Linked DNA regions of Oryzias latipes. The protein of the gene in region 2 purifies or fractionates together with the protein of the main gene of each other region. This does not show direct contact. Links are inferred from orthologs where the notes say so. Each region holds a gene or a part of one and is shown on either strand. Other genes may lie near its edges.

Evidence for each region. The genes of interacting proteins can lie anywhere in the genome.
Region 1: the proteins of mink1 (region 2) and nck2 purify together in Homo sapiens (affinity purification with mass spectrometry; 3 studies listed by BioGRID and IntAct, counting the BioPlex papers as one, with this or other methods). This does not show direct contact. The link is inferred for Oryzias latipes from reciprocal best matches to the Homo sapiens genes MINK1 and NCK2.

Annotation. Positions count from the first base shown.
Region 1 is NC_019879.2:10,281,155-10,291,478, reverse strand, and holds the start of nck2 (cytoplasmic protein NCK2), read right to left. Parts: upstream 6,854-10,324; 5' UTR 6,583-6,853; intron 1-6,582. UniProt on the Homo sapiens protein: Adapter protein which associates with tyrosine-phosphorylated growth factor receptors or their cellular substrates. Maintains low levels of EIF2S1 phosphorylation by promoting its dephosphorylation by PP1.
Region 2 is NC_019872.2:15,690,000-15,699,735, forward strand, and holds part of mink1 (misshapen-like kinase 1), read right to left. Parts: intron 9,557-9,736; coding exon 9,449-9,556; intron 8,904-9,448; coding exon 8,817-8,903; intron 7,103-8,816; coding exon 6,926-7,102; intron 6,844-6,925; coding exon 6,679-6,843; intron 6,453-6,678; coding exon 6,186-6,452; intron 6,027-6,185; coding exon 5,947-6,026; intron 5,839-5,946; coding exon 5,735-5,838; intron 5,646-5,734; coding exon 5,554-5,645; intron 3,826-5,553; coding exon 3,802-3,825; intron 3,492-3,801; coding exon 3,340-3,491; intron 3,209-3,339; coding exon 3,091-3,208; intron 2,303-3,090; coding exon 2,186-2,302; intron 1,972-2,185; coding exon 1,860-1,971; intron 1,486-1,859; coding exon 1,336-1,485; intron 1-1,335. UniProt on the Homo sapiens protein: Serine/threonine kinase which acts as a negative regulator of Ras-related Rap2-mediated signal transduction to control neuronal structure and AMPA receptor trafficking.

The sequences.
Region 1 (10,324 bases), on a different chromosome or scaffold from region 2:
AGCACCACCTACTATGGGATGTATGAAACATCTGCGCTAAAGCCAGGATCATTAGGGACTTGTCAGTGTTAGCCTGAGAGAAGTGAAACTAGGCAATTCCCTGTGATGAGAACTGTGCTCCCTCATTTATGACATACTAAAAATAACTTACATTTTAAAAATAACCTGCGATAGATGGCAATTGCTAAATTCAATTAAATGGGTTTTTCAAACACCCACTCCAATGAAGATTATGTTTTAGGCGTTTTTTTTTTGTTTTTTTTTACCTGATGGAGGACACATAATAAAGAATTTATGATTAAAACTGCATTGTTAAGTATTTCTTTTGGATTAGGTGCTACTTGCATTTGACAAAGCTCTCAGTTGTGATGCCACAACTGAAATGGGGGGGGCAAAAGCTTCCTTGCTTCACTTTACTATGATCCATCTATTTGTAGACAAATACATCAATTTACGTCTTCATTTTCCTCATCTGAGCTGAATTTGTGTCAAAACTTGACGGATGGATAGCTCCAATATTGCTCGCCACTTTTGTTGCACTGGTAATGTTGGCTTGGGGGGTGTGAGGGGCTGTAAGCTGGCGGGAGAGAGTGCAAACAAAGGGATGATGGGATATCCACAGCAACAATCCAGCCCCAACTCAAGCGAATTTCAGATGAACTCCGGCCGCTCTGCAGAAACTGTCTTAAAAAACGACACAGGCTTTTTAGCTTTTTGGCTAAAAAGTGCATAATCATAATTAAATGACCACTGGGAACGATTTTAAAATAGATAAAAATATAGTCTAAGTGGGACATTTAGGTAAAACCCCTCACCTTTTCATCCATTTAGCTCTTGCTTAACCTCTTGATAATAGTCTACAGCCAAACAGGGAACAGACATTTATTTTAAAAAGCATATTAAAATGGGACTACTGTTAGGGTTGGGCGATGTCCCTTAAATTGGCAGTTGACGATGTTTGCAGTAAACCATCGGGATGGACGATGATATCGTGGGGGGGTATTTTTAATTTTTCATTATTATATAATTATTATTTGTTATTTCACTTTATTTATTCATTTATTTTATTTCCCAACTAATAACTCATCCGCCATGATCCAGTATAAACTGAGGGAGGTGACTTTAACAAAAAAAAAAAAATAGAAAAGACATAGTCCGCTCCTGCACTTGATTAGTCAAGTCGACCGGTGGACCGAGCGACCGTGTCTCTGAGCAGAGCAGTCAGACTTTGTGTTTGATGGGAAGGGAGGATGCTTTGTTACATGTGCGCTATGTGTGGGAGACTTCGGACTGCGATCCTTCCCACAGCTCTAGGTGAACGAGCTACCGAACTCAGGAGAACCGGGTCTTCCGGTAAAAGTGTAGGTCCAGGCAGAGCGCGGACCGTCAGCTCACACAGCGGCTTTGGGGCGGTGTTTGAACTTTTCAAAGCAGAAATGTCGCTCAGTCCTTAGAAATCGTTCAAACAATCACATGAATTTGTGTTTCTAGTCATGTCCCGACAAAATAAAGCCTGATGTTATTCCCACATATTTACGTTCAGCCAAGCTGCAGATTGCAGCATTTCTGCATTGATTTATGTTCATCAAAGGCTAAATGATATTAGCCCGTGTTAGCATCTCTTAGCCCTGGCTTCTTCTGGCTCCGTTCTTCAACAGAAAAAGCACTGACCACACGAATTAAAATTAAAATGATGAGCGAACATGCGCTTCATAATAACCATAACGATAATAAAAGAATGTTTAGAAGATCATCTCATATATTACAGAGCAGCCAGATATCTAGGTATTAGGGCTGCACGATATGAGGAAAACTCGCGATATGCGATATTGGTGATTAATATTGCGATAACGATATAAATTGCGGTATATAAACAAATAGCAAAAAAAACAAAAACATAATTTCCATTTCACTGCAACAGTTTAAAAATTATACTCCAAATGACCCTTGTCGACATAGGAGGCAAACATCAAACATAAAAGGGCTCATCTGATTGATCAACAACGTAAATGGGTCCTTCTGATTGGTTAAATGCATAAAGGGATTTATTTCTTTTGTTCAATATTTCAAGCTGCCATGAGTTTGTTTTAGCACATTTAAGGTAATAATTTATTGCGATTTTTGCCGTCTTTTGCGGTATGCATATTGCACAGCTTGATTTCGCGATAACGATAAATGTGCGGTATATTGTGCAGGCCTACTAGGTATGTAGCCTCTCAGCAGAACTCATTTCTTCTTCCGGTATTTCAAACACTTCTGCGCATGTGCGAAGGATTTATTCCGACCGAAAGTGTGACCCATGTGAACGTTTGTTATAATATGAAAAAGTTTTTCTGGGCCCATGTACACGGTTGAATTCTATTCCGACCATTGATCCGATTAAGATATTTTGCACATGTAACTGCGGCTTATGGTGTCGACTCGCAGCGTGGCGGGGGCGTGGCATCACGATGGTGTCTCTCCATAGTGATGTCAGTCAGCCTTCACGATGGACGATGGTATCGGCACAATCCTAACTACTGTACAACCTAAGCATCTCAGGTGTCAGTGAGGATGGTGAAAGTTATTGTTTGCCACATTTGTGTTGAGCACGGCAGAGGCAGAGTGATGATATGGGTCACAGGACCTAGAGACTGCAGTTATTCAGTTTATGTATTTATTTATTTTTTTGCTGCCTGTTTTGCAGCCTGGCACTGAGTCACAGGAACCACCACCAGACCTCTTCTCTATAGGAACATGGGTTGAACATAAGTTTTACAGACGAGTAATGTAATTACATTTACTATTAATGATTTACTTCAACCCAAATATCAACCCTGCAACTGTTTGACAGCAAAGACAAAAGGATTGTCTTTTGTGCATTTCTATCTGGTGATACGTGCTGCAGTAAGCTAACCCAAGAAGATTTAAGCAAACTAAAGGAAGAAGAGAAGTAAAACAAACAATTTCAATTTGAAGACCACACACCACGCTCCGTCTGCTTCTGCTTGGTAGCAGCATGAACCCTCTTTTCCTGATAGATTCCAGGGTCACATAAAAGGAAATGCTTTCACAAAACTGCATGTACCACCAGTCTACATGCAGTCAGACTGCTGTGGTACATACAGTTAGACTGGATGTGTGATAACCCATTCCGCTTATTATAAATGATCACGTTGACAATGAAAAAGACATCATCTCAAAACCAATACTAACATGTAATCTAGTCTTTATATTTCCTTCATCTCTCCGACAGACCTAAGAATTTTAGCAGGTAGAAAACAATTACACTTTCAATTGAGCTAGATCAGAAAATGGGAGGAAGAAAATATTGGACTACTGTATTTTCTACACTATATGGTGACCTTAAAAACCTTAATTTTTTTCCAAAAAATTATCTGAAACACCTTAGATATACTGATACTGATTTTAAAGCGATTTTGTGAGGTACCCTTATAAAATGGTTAGTTGGGTGTTATTATGATCATGCCAACTCAGTTAATATGTAGCGGTGTAATATTTTTTTTTTTCGTTACTAACAAGGTTGGGAGTTAGCGTAGAGTAAATAGTCTGTTTTTTTTACGTTTTGCAAATAAGATCGGAAGTTGGAGGTATTGCGAATACAATAACATGTCTAAAGTTTCTACCAGAGCGGATTACGAACGAGTTCTAGAATAACTGTGAACAAAGTTAAAAAAGTCTGACTAACCAACGGACTGTGACTCTATTGTCTTCCTTAATGCACCTTATATAACACAAAAAGTTCAAAAATAGAGCGCTTTATAATCTGGTACGCTCATAGTTCTGAAAATACTGTAATATTCTACTCCAATGTACTTTTGATTTTTGGTTTATAGGAAAGATGGGGGACCTTTCTGTGTGGAGTTTGCATGTTCTCACCGTGCATGCGTGGGTTTTCTCCGAGATCTCCGGCTTCCTCCCGCTGTCCAAAAACATGCTACATAGGTTGATTGGCAACTCTAAATTGTCGATAGGTGTGAGTGTGAGAGTGAATGGATGTGTGATTGAGGATATTCTACCCTGTGACAGACTGGCGACCAGTCCAGGGTATCCCCTGCCTACGCCCAAGTGGCCGGGATAGGCTCCGGCAACCCCGTGACCCCGAAAGGGAATAAACGGTTAAGAAGATGACAGGAAAGATCGGGTTTGTTTTAAAAGAAACGACTAAAAACTAAAAAACGGATCCATTTAATATATGAATAAAAATAGGCAATTCTGAAAACAATATTTAAAACCTAAATGTAGAATTCACACTCCTAGAAGCTTCACAATACATCCATAGTAGAATACAGTAATTATTGTTTACATTTTTCTAAATCACATATTCAAAATCGTGATTGTTGACAATATGATGTATTTGTAAAAAACTCATTTTTGTTATTTTAACTCAAATTAATTGAATTTGACGCACAAATTGTCTTTGGTTTGAACGGACAATCGATTTAAATGGGGGGGGGGGGGGTCATCAAGGGTCATCCGTGATCCGTTGGACCTCTAATACACACCATGCATTTAATGCATGTTAAAGTACCCTTTTTTTTTCTTTTTCTACCATGTACTAGAAAAGGTTTGGTGCAAAAAGTCAAATCTGGTAAATCTTGCTCCAGGTTTTATTTTTTTGTCTTTTCTTTGACAGCTATATTCCAATATATTAAAGACTTGATGCCAGAATTCCAGCCGGGCACAAACCACAATCATTAATTCCTCCTTCATGATCAACTTTCAAACCGTTGGCACTTTCGTGAATTACAAAGGAAACCATATATATGTCACTCCAAAATCCAAGTCCTTGATTGGTCAAAGTTCGACCTGGTTTAACTTCCAACGCGTGTTCATTGTCATAAAAACTTGCGTAGCCAGGCATGAACACAAGAGTTTTGAGCAAAAAAGCCCATAAAACAGTGTTTACATAGACTTCTCATCGAAGGTGTCTGCTTGAAAAACATGTTGCCGAGGGCGATGAGAACATAGCTTAAAGTCAAACTCTGATCATCTTTTGATCTACTGTAAAAGCGTGATGATGCTCTTTTTAGCCAAAATCAAAAAATCTGTGTCGTTTTCTAGGACATAGTTATGCAGAGTGGCAGGAGTTCATCAGAAATTTGCCTCTGAGGTGTGGGCACACAGAGAAAGCCCACCCCCACATCTCGTCATCTATCTGTTTACACTAACTCCCGCTAGCTTAGAGCCCCTCACACATCCCAACCTAACGTTAGGGGTTTCACAAAAAGGGCGGGCAATATTGCAGCTATCCAGCCGTACAGTTCTGAGCCAGATTCCACCTCAGACGAGGTCAACGAAGATGCACAGTCGTGTACTAGTGGAGGCATCAGAATGGAGCAGAGCAGGGAGTTTGTGGCTTGCCGTTGTAAACGCCTACGTCAAAGCAACAAGCTTTTTCCGACAGTAATTTTTCATCGGCTCCTGATTCACAACGATCTGAATAAAGAAATACTCATAAATGCAGTTTTATATCTAAATTTTCTTCATGTATGTCCTCCCTCATGAAAAAAAAAAACAAGAACATATTAAAAAAACTCCACAGTTTTCATCAGAGTGAGTTATTAATAGCTGACAGGGAGAATGGTGTCAGAAACATAGAGGGGGGTGGAAATTCATCTCTAAAACAACATTTCTGCTCCAAGTATCGAATTCCAAGGAAATGATGCAACGGGAGTTTCTGCAGTACAGGACCTGCAGCCTCCTTCCTCATACCTGTCAGTGCGGACTGTAGACCGGGAGAGCGCTTTGCACAGGGTGTGTCTGCAGTAGGTGTGACAAGTCTACCTGAACCACGCAAGAACTTTCAGCACCTTTAAACACCTGGATTTAAATCTGAAAACCCAAATTCTAAATCTAAAATAAAATGTACAAAAATATCCAGCATCAAGTCAGTGAGAGAACAGACAAGGCGTCCTTTGATCCACAGGGGCTGATGAGGCGACAGCATGGTGCAGTTCCCACCAACGGCCGCTAGGAGCACTGACAAGCTCGGCATGTGGCACCAGGCGCCCGGCCGATTTCTGCTGCTTCTTTGGCAAGTGTGCTTCATTGTGTGAGCCGTAGCGCTGTCAGCAGGATCTCGAACCACACCAACCAAACACCTATGATGGCAGAAATTGTTTTCCACGCAAAAAAGTACGAAATTGTAGAACTGAAGTTAAAAGAAACTATTTTAAACAAAGCCGGACCACAGCCTGGAATCCACCACCACCGACCATGGTCTGTGAGTCAGGCCCCTCTAATATTTACTAACCGAAAAAGTACAAATGTTGTTAGTGAACATTTTAATTGATGATTTTAAGTGTGGGAATTTAAACAAATTTATACAATTGTGGGGGTTTAAAAAGTGGTTCGCGAACACTGGAGCGAGATTCGAGCCAAGTCTGTGGTCAGAGTGGACAAAGACCAAGCGTCTCAACGCGAGAAAGTGACACTCCGAGCCTCCCACTCCCACTACGGAGGAAAACCTCCACACATAATTCTGTAGACCAATAAAACCCCTTTCAATCTACGGCACGCGCAGCTGGAAAGAGTAATGTAAGCAGAAGCAACTCACACAGTTGTGTATTTCAGGCTTACCTTACCTTAGTGTTCACTCCAGTCAGAATGGGCAGACAAGCGTCACAGCACAGGGATAGCGCGCGCGGGTCCAACAATAATAAGTGACCAAACCCTCGTCAAAGTGACAAAAAAATTCGTTTAAGTCCTCATCTCCTCTGGTTTATCTCATTTTCTTTCTTCAAACACTGACTAAACCTGTACTGTTCGACGTGTTGTCGCTTGTTTTTCCGTCGCAGGCTGACTGCCTCCGCCTCGATCAGCCTCCTTTCAAGCTAGGAGATACACACTTCTTCACTTCCGTTCCGATTTTTCAAAATAAAGCTAGGTTTGAACAGGGCAAATTCAATTAAAAAGTACAATTTTTGCAAAAACAAGTAAATTAAAATTACATATTAGAAATTTGAAAAATATTAAATGCAGTCAGAAAACACAGTTTAATTAAATATGGTTAAATATTGTTCATGATAACAAACGTGTGCATTTTTCCACATTTTTATGCCTGTGATAAACAAAAATGTACACTGTACTATTATTGCTTTATTGTCTATTCACCACTACTATCTTTATTTAATATATAATTAACTTTTTTCTTTTTTGAAATAGTACATTTTTAGACATATTCAACTTGTACTTCTTCAGGTGTTTTGTCGTCTATTTGACCTATTTTAAATGTCAAAAATGAAAATCTTAGCAACAGCATACAAAAATGTAAAGAAAAGATGATACGAATGTTTAGGAAGAGAAAACTTTGAAACCAAATGAATGTGGAATATTAGCAGAAACATTTATTCTTTCTATTCTTTTTTTAAATTAATGTGTTTTCATTTGCCAATATCTGTCTGGGTGAGGAACATCTAAAAAGAGGTTCTTCACAGTTTAACGGTATATGTGTTTGAAGTGTAGGTGTTTTTTATCATTTTGCAGATGTTTCAGCAGTTTCGCTAACAGCAGTTCCATGTAGTTTACTATTTTCTTTTCTTTTGAAGTCCATATGATGGCATCAAACAACAAATATTTAATCCAGAAAAATTTTCATAAGAATTAAATAAAATAGAAAGATCAACAAGTTACTTTTTTGGTCAATCCCTATCCATTTAAAATCGTATTTTGTTTTGTTTTGCTCTATGGTTACACTTTATCCTTTGTGATGTGGGTAAATGAGTATGCAATTCAAAACGTAAAAAAAAAATCTTTTATTTACCAACTGCTAACGGTCAGAAGTGTATTTACCTAATGGTCATTGAAGCAAGGCTGCAGGCCTAAATGTAATACATGTAAAATTACATATAAATTACATGTAAAATTACATGTATGTCTGTTGGTGAACTGATGTTGTTTATAGTTTACTCGTACCTTAGTTTGGTTATTTTCCTTTTTTCATGCTAACTTTCAGAATCTTTTTGTTAAATCGAGCCTGCTTTTATTTGTTAGGACTCCGCCTCAATTTCCGGTTTGATTCTGATATTCACGTTCAGCTTGATCCCCGGTCCTGGTTGTGACGTCACTAACCCCGGGACGAGAACAGGACAACGCCAGAGGGAAATGGACAGATTGTGGAGGAATATGTCGCCCCTTGGCGATAATAGCGAGAAATAGGAGACGATTAAGCCACATGTCCATTGTTATTCATGTAGATCGCATTTCCTTGCTACTGTAAAGGAAATAAAAATCTTAATTTGTTTAAAAGACATACTTTAAAAAATTAAAATGAAGCTATAGAGGCAACCTTCCTCATACATTCTTCAAACGAAAGGTGCAAAATTGCACAATTTAATCGTGAAAAAGCTGTGTTTCAAAATTATGAATTATCTAATGCAGTCAAATTTTCTTCAGTTAAACCATAAAAGATGGCAGTCATCATGGAAAATATAAGAATCGTTGCTGAAAAATTGTGCTCATGCGCGATGAAGGCAAAAACACAGGACATAAAAAATGTTAGTCTTTTTCAGAACTTTGCTATTCTTTCATCTGAAACAGTTTATAAATGAAAAACTACTAAAATCAAAAGACTGTTTGTGTGTGTGTGTGTGTGTGTGTGTGTGTGTGTGTGTGTATGGGTGTGTGTGTGTGTGTGTAAAATTGGCTATGGTTGTTAGATGTACCGTTTAAATCACAAGGGGGCAGAACATCCCAGCATACAACCATGTCACATTCCACACATTTCTTCATGTTTGTTACTGTCACAACTAAATGTAAAAATAACCAGCAGCTCTGCGTATTTTACCCACACACTCTAATTGAGGCGATACAATAAAGTTTTGATCACAAGAAATCAATTTAATTACAAGTTGGGGCCAAATAACCAGAAGCGCATGCTTTTTTGTTGAAGACCTCTTTAATGTTGGGCCTGTTTTGGAACAGCTGACTCAAGCTTTAATTGGAAAGAGCTGAGAGGCATGGTGAGCACCCTGATGGTTGGCATTGTTGGATTTCACAGCTGAATTGAAGGCAAAACTCAATCTGCAACATTACATAAGAGGGTCTGAGCAGTAAATGTTCCAGAATTCGTTCATGACATTCTCCTCTTAGACTGAAAAACGAGGCGAGTCGGGCTCATTCGTGGAGTTTGACGACTGTCAGCACTTGGGTTGCTGCTGCTGCTAAAAGCAGGAGGGCTTCCATTTTAGATCCACTCCACTTATTCTCCCCATCGTCTCACTGACTAGCTGCTGAGAGGACTGCAGCTGAGCACAGCTTTGGTTACATCACTGGATGTTTACTTTGGCTTAAAGGCACCAGTTCTGAAGCCCACCTGACTGTAGGTGATGACACACGTGACAACCTGCAGCCCCTCCTTGATATTGTTTGGACTACAGACAAGTAAAAATGAGAATGTCATGAAATGCAAAACCTCTGAATGAAAACAGTTTGTTTACCAAATCCTCCAATTCGGTGCTCCCCCTTTCTTTGTGGTTGGAATCAGTTTTTTCCTCCAAGTGCGAAATGGGCACTTTGTCAAAGTTAAAAATTATGTTTTTGGTGCTGATAATATTTTATTTCTGACATAAAGTTTATAGGATAAATGGGACAAAATGTAAAAAACAAACAAAATAAAACCATGAAACATCCAAAATGGAGTGAAAAGGAATTAAAAGCTTCCCGAGCTTCATGAATAGTGGGGGCTCATCCAGGACATCTTAAGGGGTTGAGTGCCTGCATCAGGTCCAAAGTAGTTCTATGAACCTGCAAACCTTGAAATCCAACTAAACAACTAAACAAATGAAGTGTGTGTGTGGTGCATAATTTAATCTGTCTCTGGAAGAAGAACTCAATTCGATCTGGACAGGCCATCAGCTGAGAGGTTCTCCTTTACCTATAGAGCCCGGCGCATGAGGTGGAGGTTGTGAGTTCCGAGCTGGAACTATTGACTCTATAAGAGAACTGGACTTGGTTACCCAACCCTCTACTCACCAGATCTCAACCCAATAGAGAACCTTTTGGATGTGGAGATTGGCATCATGGATGTTCAGCCGACAAATCTGCAGCATCTGTGTGATGTTTTCATGTGAATATGGACCAAAGTCTGAGGAATGTTTCCAGTACCTTGTGGAATCGATGCCACCAAGGGCAGTTCTGAAGGCCTAAGGGGGTCAAACCCGAAACTAGCACGGTGTCCCTAATAAAGTGGCCAGTGAGTGTATCTACATACACTACAAGTAATTTAATAATAATAATAAATAAAAAATGAAAAAAACACCAACTGAAGAACCCTTATTATTCTCAAACACCAGGAACAATCAAAAAAGGAAAGAAAAAGCAG
Region 2 (9,736 bases):
CCCCTAAGTTTTTAAGCTTTTACGTTTTAAGTTTATAATTTATGTTTTACTTGTATTTTAATTCTGCTCTATGACTTTGTTATTTATTTTGACATTTGGACCATGAGTCTGTAATCAAATTCTATTCTACAAAAAAGTCAAAAGGATTTATAATCTAGTCCTATAATTTGAATCAAATTTTATTTTGTAAATAAATCAGTTTTCTAATCAACAGGTACTGTTTAATTATCAGCTTTAAAATGGCCCAAAGTGGGTTTGAACATCTTTATTTCTTTTACAGTCACTGACAAAATATAATGCATCATAACCCCTGGTGTTATTTTTATCTAAATGAAATCCCACTTCAATTTTCTACATTCATGTTGACATTTAACATTTGGTCCCATTTGCAGCCTGTAAACAGACGGATGTCAGGAAGTAGGGGCAGGCTTTCTATACGCCAATGCCCCCGCCCACAACTCAGAGGTGAATTTCTAAAGAACTACTGCTGCTCTGCAGAAACTATGTGTTGGAAAATGACACAGAATTTTCTTAATTTTGGCTAAAACCAGCATAATCATAATTAAAAGACCACTGGAAATATTTTTACAATAGATCAAAAGATGATCAGTTGGAACTGTAAAGGAGGCATTTTCAAAATGCATGTCATGGTGTACAAAAATGCCACAAACATTCATTACAAGGCACTGTGCCCTCACAGCTCTGTTTAAACTAGACCATCAAAGATGAGTGGTGTGATAAACCACCGTTTTCCGTGTCAAGTTCCACTAAAATATTCTTGTGGACCTGTTTCAAAGGTTTTTACCCCTTTCCTTGGTTCTGTTTGCTACACAGAAGCAAACAGAACCATCAGGAAATGTCACATGGTAACGACAGCTAAACATCTAGGGATGGTACAACCAAAAACGAGCACTGACCATGATAAGAAAAGAGCTTGCAAGTAAGTCCCTCTGACAGCTTCAGTGGAATCCTTGCTTTTAGAAGCCTGACTGGCCCAAACCCCATATACATTTTTACTATACTACATGTTTTTCCGGTTTATGAGATGTGCTTCTTTAGGTTCATACTGTGGACCGTTTTAACATGCTTTTTTAACTCCATTTGTAACATACATCTGTGGTTTTTTATCGCTTTCTGCTCTGGGTTTGCTAGAAAGTCCATTCAAACTGTAGGTGAACCATATCGGGGTTCACTTGCAAAAACAGAGTACCTCATTTTAAGAAAGAAAGTTTGTGTGTTTGGTCTGCGAGAATAAATTCTGGTGCAGACTCATCAGTGTTGATATTTAAACTGTGGTCTTTTTAAATGACACATGCCAATTGAATGTGTTCTCACCCCAGAGTGCGGCACACAGGATCTCAGAGTTGAACTTCTTCTTGTATTTGCGGATCTCTGGTGTGTCATTGGGGGGGCGTGTGTTGGTGGGATTCACATTAACCATGGATCCTTTCCTGACCTCCATCTTTAGCTGCTCGAACCTGGAGTCTGAAAACAGAGAGAAAAAATAGGTTTCTAGGATGGAAACCACCAGGGTGAATGGGATCTTCAGCTGGTATGAGATCAACCTAGTCCAGCTGATTGCTTTTTTTTTTTTTAACCAACAATCTAGCACAGTGACATGAATAATAGCTAACTTTTAATCCATCAATGTTTCACATGTTTATAAACTCAATAATTTACTCAAATTCAAATATTTTAAATAAATAAAACTACAAACTGTTGGAAAAAGCTATCTTGTTTAACACACAAACCTTAAACTATGCTAAAGTAAATAAGCAATAACAACCACAAAAATGGGTGCTTGGAGTTTTCAGGGGTTAAAGATCAAATTCTTCAGAGGATATGACCTTCTGACTCACCACTGATAGACATGGTATCCCCTGTATCTCCTGGTGATTGGTACATGCCAAGATCCACAAAAGTGGTGAAGGAGGACTTGCCTGATGCTTTCACCAAACCTCTGGACTGATACTGGTGGAGAAAAGCAGCTAAATGAGTTTATGGTTTTATTCAAGTCATCATCAAGTTGGAAGCATTTTCAAACTGTTATTTCCCAACATATTTAAATAGATGTGTTCATGACCACTAATAGGTAGATTTTATGGAGAAGTGATGGCATACATGACACATATATAAAAATTGAGCTAAAATGAGGGACAGATAAACTTAGAATCAGTAAACGTACGTCATAAACTGAGTCCTTCCCCGGAGAGGAGTGAGAGGCTGAGTCAGTGGGGGAATGGGAAGGCTGCACCACATCTGGCAAATTTGTGTATCCATTGTGATTCCTCTTCTCTGGGGTCTGCAAAGACACACACACACACACAATAATGCAGATCAGTAACATCAATGACCTAAATCTAGGATAATCATTTACAGAAATGTCTGTAAGGCCTTTACTTGTTTAGCTTGGCAAATTTCATGAAATAAATTGAGCTTTCAATTAATTTTGAAATTTATATTTCTAACAACAACAAGTAACTGAAAATGAATTCATGCAAAAGCTGCTTTCCATAACCAAAAATAACATCTGGAGTCCCATTGGAAAATATATTTGCCCGTCTTTTAGAACAGCTTTACTGGTCTGCATGAATAACACAAAACCACGGAGGAGATTATTTTTACTAAAAAGTCAAAAGGATTCTAAAAAAAAAAATAGTGCTAAATATTATTGGGGTTTAGGTTACCCAAACCTAAACACGTGAGACCTGAGATCACCTCAGCATTTGATAAAATCGAACAAAAACAAGTGCAACTCGTTTTAAAAGTATAAATGAAATAATGTCTTAAAAAATGTAAGGTCTCAAAATTTAAGGAAACGTTGTTGAAGATCTGCTCAATGGAAACAGTTTTCTTAATAGAACAGTCATATGCTTCAGTGTATTGATCAGGTTTAAATGGAAAAGAACTCAATGGATGGAGCATTTAGCAAAAGATGAATATTTCTCCATCAAACAAAAATAACTTTGTACAGATATGGATCAAATATTGATTACCATACAATTTTATGCAACAAAATGTTCCATTATAACCAGATTTCAATCATAACATAACACATTTTATTTATCCCCACGCATAGGGATGACTCACTCTCTGCACCAGCATAGTCTGATCCCCATATCCTCCAGCTTGATCTCCTTCTCCCCCCTCAGCCTCGTCTTCATGAACAACCATGGTGTTGACTGAATCAGTGTCTGCGTCTCTGTGGCTGAAACAAAAAAGAAAAACAGACCTTTGAACTGCAAGGAGAATAACGCTTTCAAAAGAAGCTAAATTGAAAAAAGTGTCGTGAAGGTTGAGCTGTTTTGTGACTTTTTCACATTTTAATAGATGTGTTACCGATCTGTTGGACTTTCTTCCTCCTCTGGTCCTTCACCGCTCTCGCTTTCTTCACTACTCTCACTGCTCTCTGAGGAAGAGGAGTAATCATTGGCCTTGACTGGGGGCCTCGGGGGCTCTTCAGCACGCTCCTTGGCATAGAGGCCGTGGTCCTGCAAACCCATTCAGTAGCATTTTTTTTATGAATTCATTCATAGCAGCTTTGAGCGTCATCAAAACAACAGAAATTGATATGAAACAACATTACGGACAACAATCTCAAGACAACGGAACCAAACTGACAAAAGGTGCAGTCCTTCAATTCACTGAATGTAAAAAACTCAAACATGAGTAAAATGACAAGTGAGAACACTGTACAGCATGCCATTCACCTATTCTGAACATCACACGGTCAAGTAGCACAACAGAAATTCATGCATGAACACACAACAACATACACCAAGAGAGGCCAGAGTTACTAACCTCCCCTATAGCCCTCTTGTAACTCTGGACATTCAAGGTAAAAATCACCAAAGAGATTTAAAAAAAAGGGAGAAACATGAGGAGCAATGATACCAGTGTTTGTTGTTTCATTAAAGTGCTATCCAAACTGAGATAAACAGCATTATCAGTGTTAGAACACTAACATAAAACATGAGATATTTTATAACAATTTCTTTTTAGTGTTTAGTCTTTACATAACACTCAGCAGTGAAAGTCACAAGAAGAAAACAACAACTTTAGATACACATATACCAGCATGTGAACTCTTAAAAGTGCCTAAATAAATTCAGATGAATTTTTTTTATTTTGATGGTTTAATTGCTCCAGTTTTCATTTTCTTAAACATTTGTTAGCCATTACTTGCTTATCGAAGGCTGACAAGAAAGTCAAAATATAAAAAAATGAAATTAACTGAAAAGTCAATAGTAAATGGATCCAAAGTGAAATAAATGTTCACAGAGTAAATAAAGAGGAAATAAACACATTTAAGGCCCATTCATCAATTAGAATTCCTACAACGTATGAACTGCTCTCACTTATTTCTTCAGAAGTAAATTATGTATTTTTTGAGCCGACTTCAACCATTACATCAACAACTTATGCTTCATTTCTGCAGCTTTGAATAAATCTAAACATAATTGATATTTTCACTATCAAAAGTACAGTTTAGTTTCAGTATAGATACTTTACAATAGTCAACATTAAATTGAATGCCCTCCCAAAACTTTATTGATGTTTTTTAACTGGCAGTGTCTAAATATAGTTTATCCTTTATAATACACTTCTGTGAAAAGGATTTTCCACTTAACCTTAACAGTTGAAAGTACAAACATTACTGCTGACAGACAAACTCGTGTCTGAACGTCCAGACAAAAGCTTAAGACGAGGAGATGGACAGGGGAGGTGATTCATGTTTTGGCTGCGCATCACTACACATGGAAGAGAGGCGCGGGGGGGGGGGGGGGGGGGGGGGGGGGGTTCCTGTGTAGCTTTTTTTAAAAACTGGAAATGTCATTTATTTCTGGGTGGAAAAGCTAACATGGTTGACACTTTAAAAAGTTCACACAACAAACTCAGCTCATGTCTTATATTTTTTGGTTTTTAGAGATTTGATTCTGTTTACTTTCTTTTTTAAAGGTGTTTTAGTCACTTCTAGTTTTACTTTCCAACTTTTGTGTTATTACTTCAATTTCTTGCCAAATTTTTACTTTTAATGATTTTGGGAAAAGACAAAGACAAGTTATAAAAATTGGCACTTTATCCAATCCCCTTTTTTCTGGTCCAATAACCAATACGTTTACTAATTTACTTTGAAGGAAATAAAATTATTTAAATAAGGTTTGAATTAACCTCTATTTTCACATCTAATCCTTCATTCCTGTGAGACTTTGTTACTTTTGTTTTTATTCTTTGATTTTTAGCAACTTTCACCCTCAGAACAAAACGAATGTAATATGAGCATTTGTGGAGCTCAGACTTCAAAGAAGGCAACATAAAAAATGTAAAAAATCTAAACAAATCCAAGCATTCAGTTTTGGTCAGAGTAAAGGGAAAAAAGGACTTTAAACTATAAAGAAAGCTTCCCCTTAACGTGATGTATTATGTGAAGTAAGGGTTAAAATACGTTAAAGCTGTTAATATAAGATATACAACCATTTGGTAATGTCAGTGTCATGAGAAGAGAAGCATTGACACATTATCTATGTAATACTGTCTGAAAGAAGCACTCACAGCAGGGCGCCCAGGGCGAGAGGAAGTTCGAGATTCCCCTGGCCTATGGCGGCTTTCATGAGAAAGCATGGGCGAATCCATCTTAGAAGAACCTCGAAAAGAAAAGAAAATCCAGAATGCTCTAAGTGAGAAGTTCTGATACTGAGAAGGAAGGAAGAGCTGTGGGGGAGCAGCGACTCACTGAGGATGCGATGCCTCTCCAGAGAGCCCGTCTGTGGCAGATTGGAAATGATGCTCATGCTGTCGCCTCTCTCCCAACGGTCATTACGGCTGAGATCTGGATTGCTGACATGAGGATACAATAATCACAAGCAGTCAGTAATAGTCATCATCATTTAAAAACTGTGCTAACGTGGATAAAGATCAATGTAATGACTTGAGTGTCTTTGGTACCTGGCTCTCACCGGGTGCCTAATACCAGAGGTCAGGTTGGCATTAAGAGCTGTAGCAATGGATGCTGTCCTCTGAGGGACCTGAAAATGTTATATTTTTAGATATGAAACTGGTCTTTAAAAACAATACCTTGTGTAAAAAAAGCAAAACTGTTAAGGAATTATGTGAGGTTTCAAAGCTTGTGTTATTGTACAGCCGAGTAATCTCATGCCCAGTTGGAACCAGTCAGAGGATGCTACCTTTGGAGGAAGCTCTACATCTGGCAAACGAATCCAAGGGCCACGTTCCTCCCTGATCTGATGTGCAAGTGGTGCGGGGGTTTCAGAGGTGGGGTCGGAGTTCTGACGTACAAGCTCTCTGGAGTGGTTGGGGCGAGGTATGGGGAGGAGGGAAGGATCCTGAGTGGGGAATGCGGACATGTTCTTAGTGGGCTGGTCACAGAGGGACTGAGAGCGAGGAACAGGGGCAGCGTAAGGCTTTAGAGGAACCAAATGAGCCATCTGAAACTGCAGAGGACCAGGAGGGAGGTGCAGCCAAGTGAGAGCGCAGGAAGACATCAAAGTGGGGAAGAAGACACAGTTATGTTTTTGTTGGAAGGGGATTTTGTAAATGAGGGAACAAAGTGAAAACAGACATGGAAAAGAAAAAAAGAAGCAAAGTGTCAAAGGTAAAGCAACTGAGGAATTAGGAGGCAGAAATGTAGATCCATGCATTTTCACAATAAGCACAAACCTTGCTCTGCCCCCCTTGAGGTTCCACTGGCCTCTGCATGGGTGGTGTCTGAGCAACCGATCCTGATTGGCTGATAGAATCGGCACGCGACTGGATATTAGTGTCAGAGACCGTAGTGCAGATTTTGGGTGAACCCTGCCTGTTGAGTTTACTCCGCTCCTCCACCTAGAACAGGACGGTGAAAAGAAAGGTCAACAGTGTGTCGTCATGAAGGGCGCTGTGACTTAAACCAAGCCCAGCCTGGTACCTCTCGGGCCCAATTAGGTTTGTTGTTTGGCTCCAAGTTTTTGTTGTAGTGGTAAAGCTGGGGCTTCTTGTCTTGCTGCTGCTGTTGCAAAGACACCAGGTAGGCATGCTCCTGCTGCAGCTGTCTCTGCAGCCGCTCTGACTGGCGCTGCTCCTCCAGCTGTTTGCGCTTATACTCCTGAACAAAAAAGAAAAACAGCCACAATCAAAGGACAGTGGACGCACAAAAAACATCACATGGGGCAAATATAATTGTTCAATTTCTGACAAAACGTCATCATTTTGCTGATTGGCATGAGGTAAGTCGGCTGACTTGTTGACTTTTTGTCACCAGGTCTCTGCTCTTCCAGCCTTTGGCAAACAAAAATAGTCATAACTTGAATACCTCAAGTTAAAATTCAACTTTCTGCAAAGTGTTAAAAAAACATACAGTAAACTTTAAATTAGTTTTTCCTAATATGCAAAGGTGATCTCAAATCATAAACAAATTATATTGCCACCATTATTGAGGTCTGCACTCAATGAAGAATGACGAATAGCATCATCAGCAGCAAACAGCAACTATCCGGTGGCTGCAGATCCATGGGTTTAAGCTGCCGTCTGCCCATCAGTTGATTGGGGATTTGGTTCCCAACTTAAGAGTGAGTGTGTCCTTAAATATAATGGATAACCCCACAACTCTAGGAAGCCTGAAAGTTGCTCAAGATGTCTCTTCCATCTGTCATTTTATGCGAAAATGCAATTTTCTGCAGACCAAAGTGGCTGCATTAAGATTTCTTTGTGACAAAGTGTAGTCCTAGCATGGTGCAGCCAGAGAAGAGGCCCATCTACTGCCAGCAGCACCATCAAAGCCTTTACTTCTGCTACACATAGATACCCCAGCCTGTGTTAAACACCTCATACTCCAGAAACCTATCTGACGCGACACACTGGTCTCCATAATAAGCCTTTGGTCCCAGTATTAAGTATTAAAAGCAAAAAATAATTTGGATGTAAACCTGCAACTTTAAACAGAGCTAATCTGTTGTTCTATAACTGGTAAAAACACAACACACATTTGTGCATCATAAGGAACCTATATTGGAACTCCCAAAACTATTTTAACCTAGAATTACTTTTATTTGCCACTATATTGCACTGGAATCACTACAAGCTTTGCAAAGGCTGCCACAGTTTAAATAAAAGGCAAAAATTAGAGGCAAAGGCAGTCTGCTAGTTTCTAGTTGAAAGCAGATTTGAGGATTTAAACTGCAGTAGAATCAGAGAATATTGGTTGCAAAATGTAGCCTTTAAACATTCATAGTTTCCACAGGGGGGTTGCCCTGTGACTGACCCTGTTGTCTGCCCCCATAAAGCCTAGCTCAGGAATCCTGTGAATGCACTTTTAAGTGCCTCAAGTGTTCTACATATAGAGTCAATAATCCCTCTGTAAAACTGAAATAGACCTCAGTGTTAATTATGACCTCAGTACATTCTACAGTAGGAAACTAACGGAGAAGTCACAGGAAATGCGGGAAATCTAGGCTTCAACTGAAGGCTGCAAAGCGCCTAAACTCACCTGGAAATCTAGGTCATTAAATATGTTAAAATATCTGCAATAATATGTGAGCAGCACTAATGGCTTGTAATGTACATCCACATCCTCCAATCTACCGATTAGAATAACCATTACTGCACACTTTATGACAATGTAGGGATGTTTATCTTTATTCATTTCAGATTATATGGCAAATAAAATATTTAAAAAAAAAAATCACATTACATTAAAAAGTTAAAATAAAAGCTAAATGTATTAAACACAGCATGTTTATGTCCCGACTGATTAACTGTTATTGGTGAAATAATCATAAACCCAAGCTTATGACTGTAAACAAACATTAGGGAGTAGTTACCATGAGCAGTGCCTGCTCCTGAAGCAGCTGCTGCTGTAGGATTTCTAACTGCCGCTGCTCTTCCTCTAACTTATGTCTGATAAACTCCTGCAGGAAGGTAAGAAGACAGAGGTGGTGCTCATTAGGGTGATGACAGGAGAAATGAAGGAGTGCCAGATTTGTTTAGAAGCTGGAATGATGCGTTATGCAAGATCTGTAAAATGTAGCATGAGATGTTTTGATTAAATGTCATTATTAATTACATAATAGGAAAGGTGCAGATGCTTTTTAGAAGAGGCAACGTATCTAAGTTTACACACATACTTGCAGATCTAAATAAATAAAATGAAGATAAGCAGACTTTGAGATTTGAAACATTTTACATTAGTGGGGCGCCCAGGAAACAAAGATGAGGTGTGTAGGAGTAAAAGGAGATGGTGCTCTGAGTACAGACTGAGAGGACCCTGCAAGAGCTTCCGCACAAAAAAACCCCTCTACCCTCAGTAAATACACTAATTTAGGCCTTTGCTGCTATGGCAACCCACTGATGGAATTTCACCACCAGAGCAACTTGTGCCGTATTGTTGGAAGACACGCCTTAACTTCATGGTGATTGGCTGCTTACAGATTCCGTGTCCCCTGCAGTTGGTTACCTGCTCCCTCTCAGCCATCCTTCTATCTTCCTCCCGTCTCATATCGTCAATTCTCCGATGGGGACCTTTTTCTTGCTGCCTCACCATCTCTCGCTCCTTTCTCTGTTGCTGGGAGAGAGGTGACAGGAAAGAGAAATTACACAAAGGAAACTAGTCTGCTTTTTAGCAAATGATCCCCCTGAAAAGAGCAGCAGAAAGAGTGAGGAGTAGAGAATAGATGTGACTTATCCTGACTATTACACAACTATTGGTGTGTGTGATGTTCTAATTAGAACACATCAGTGACAG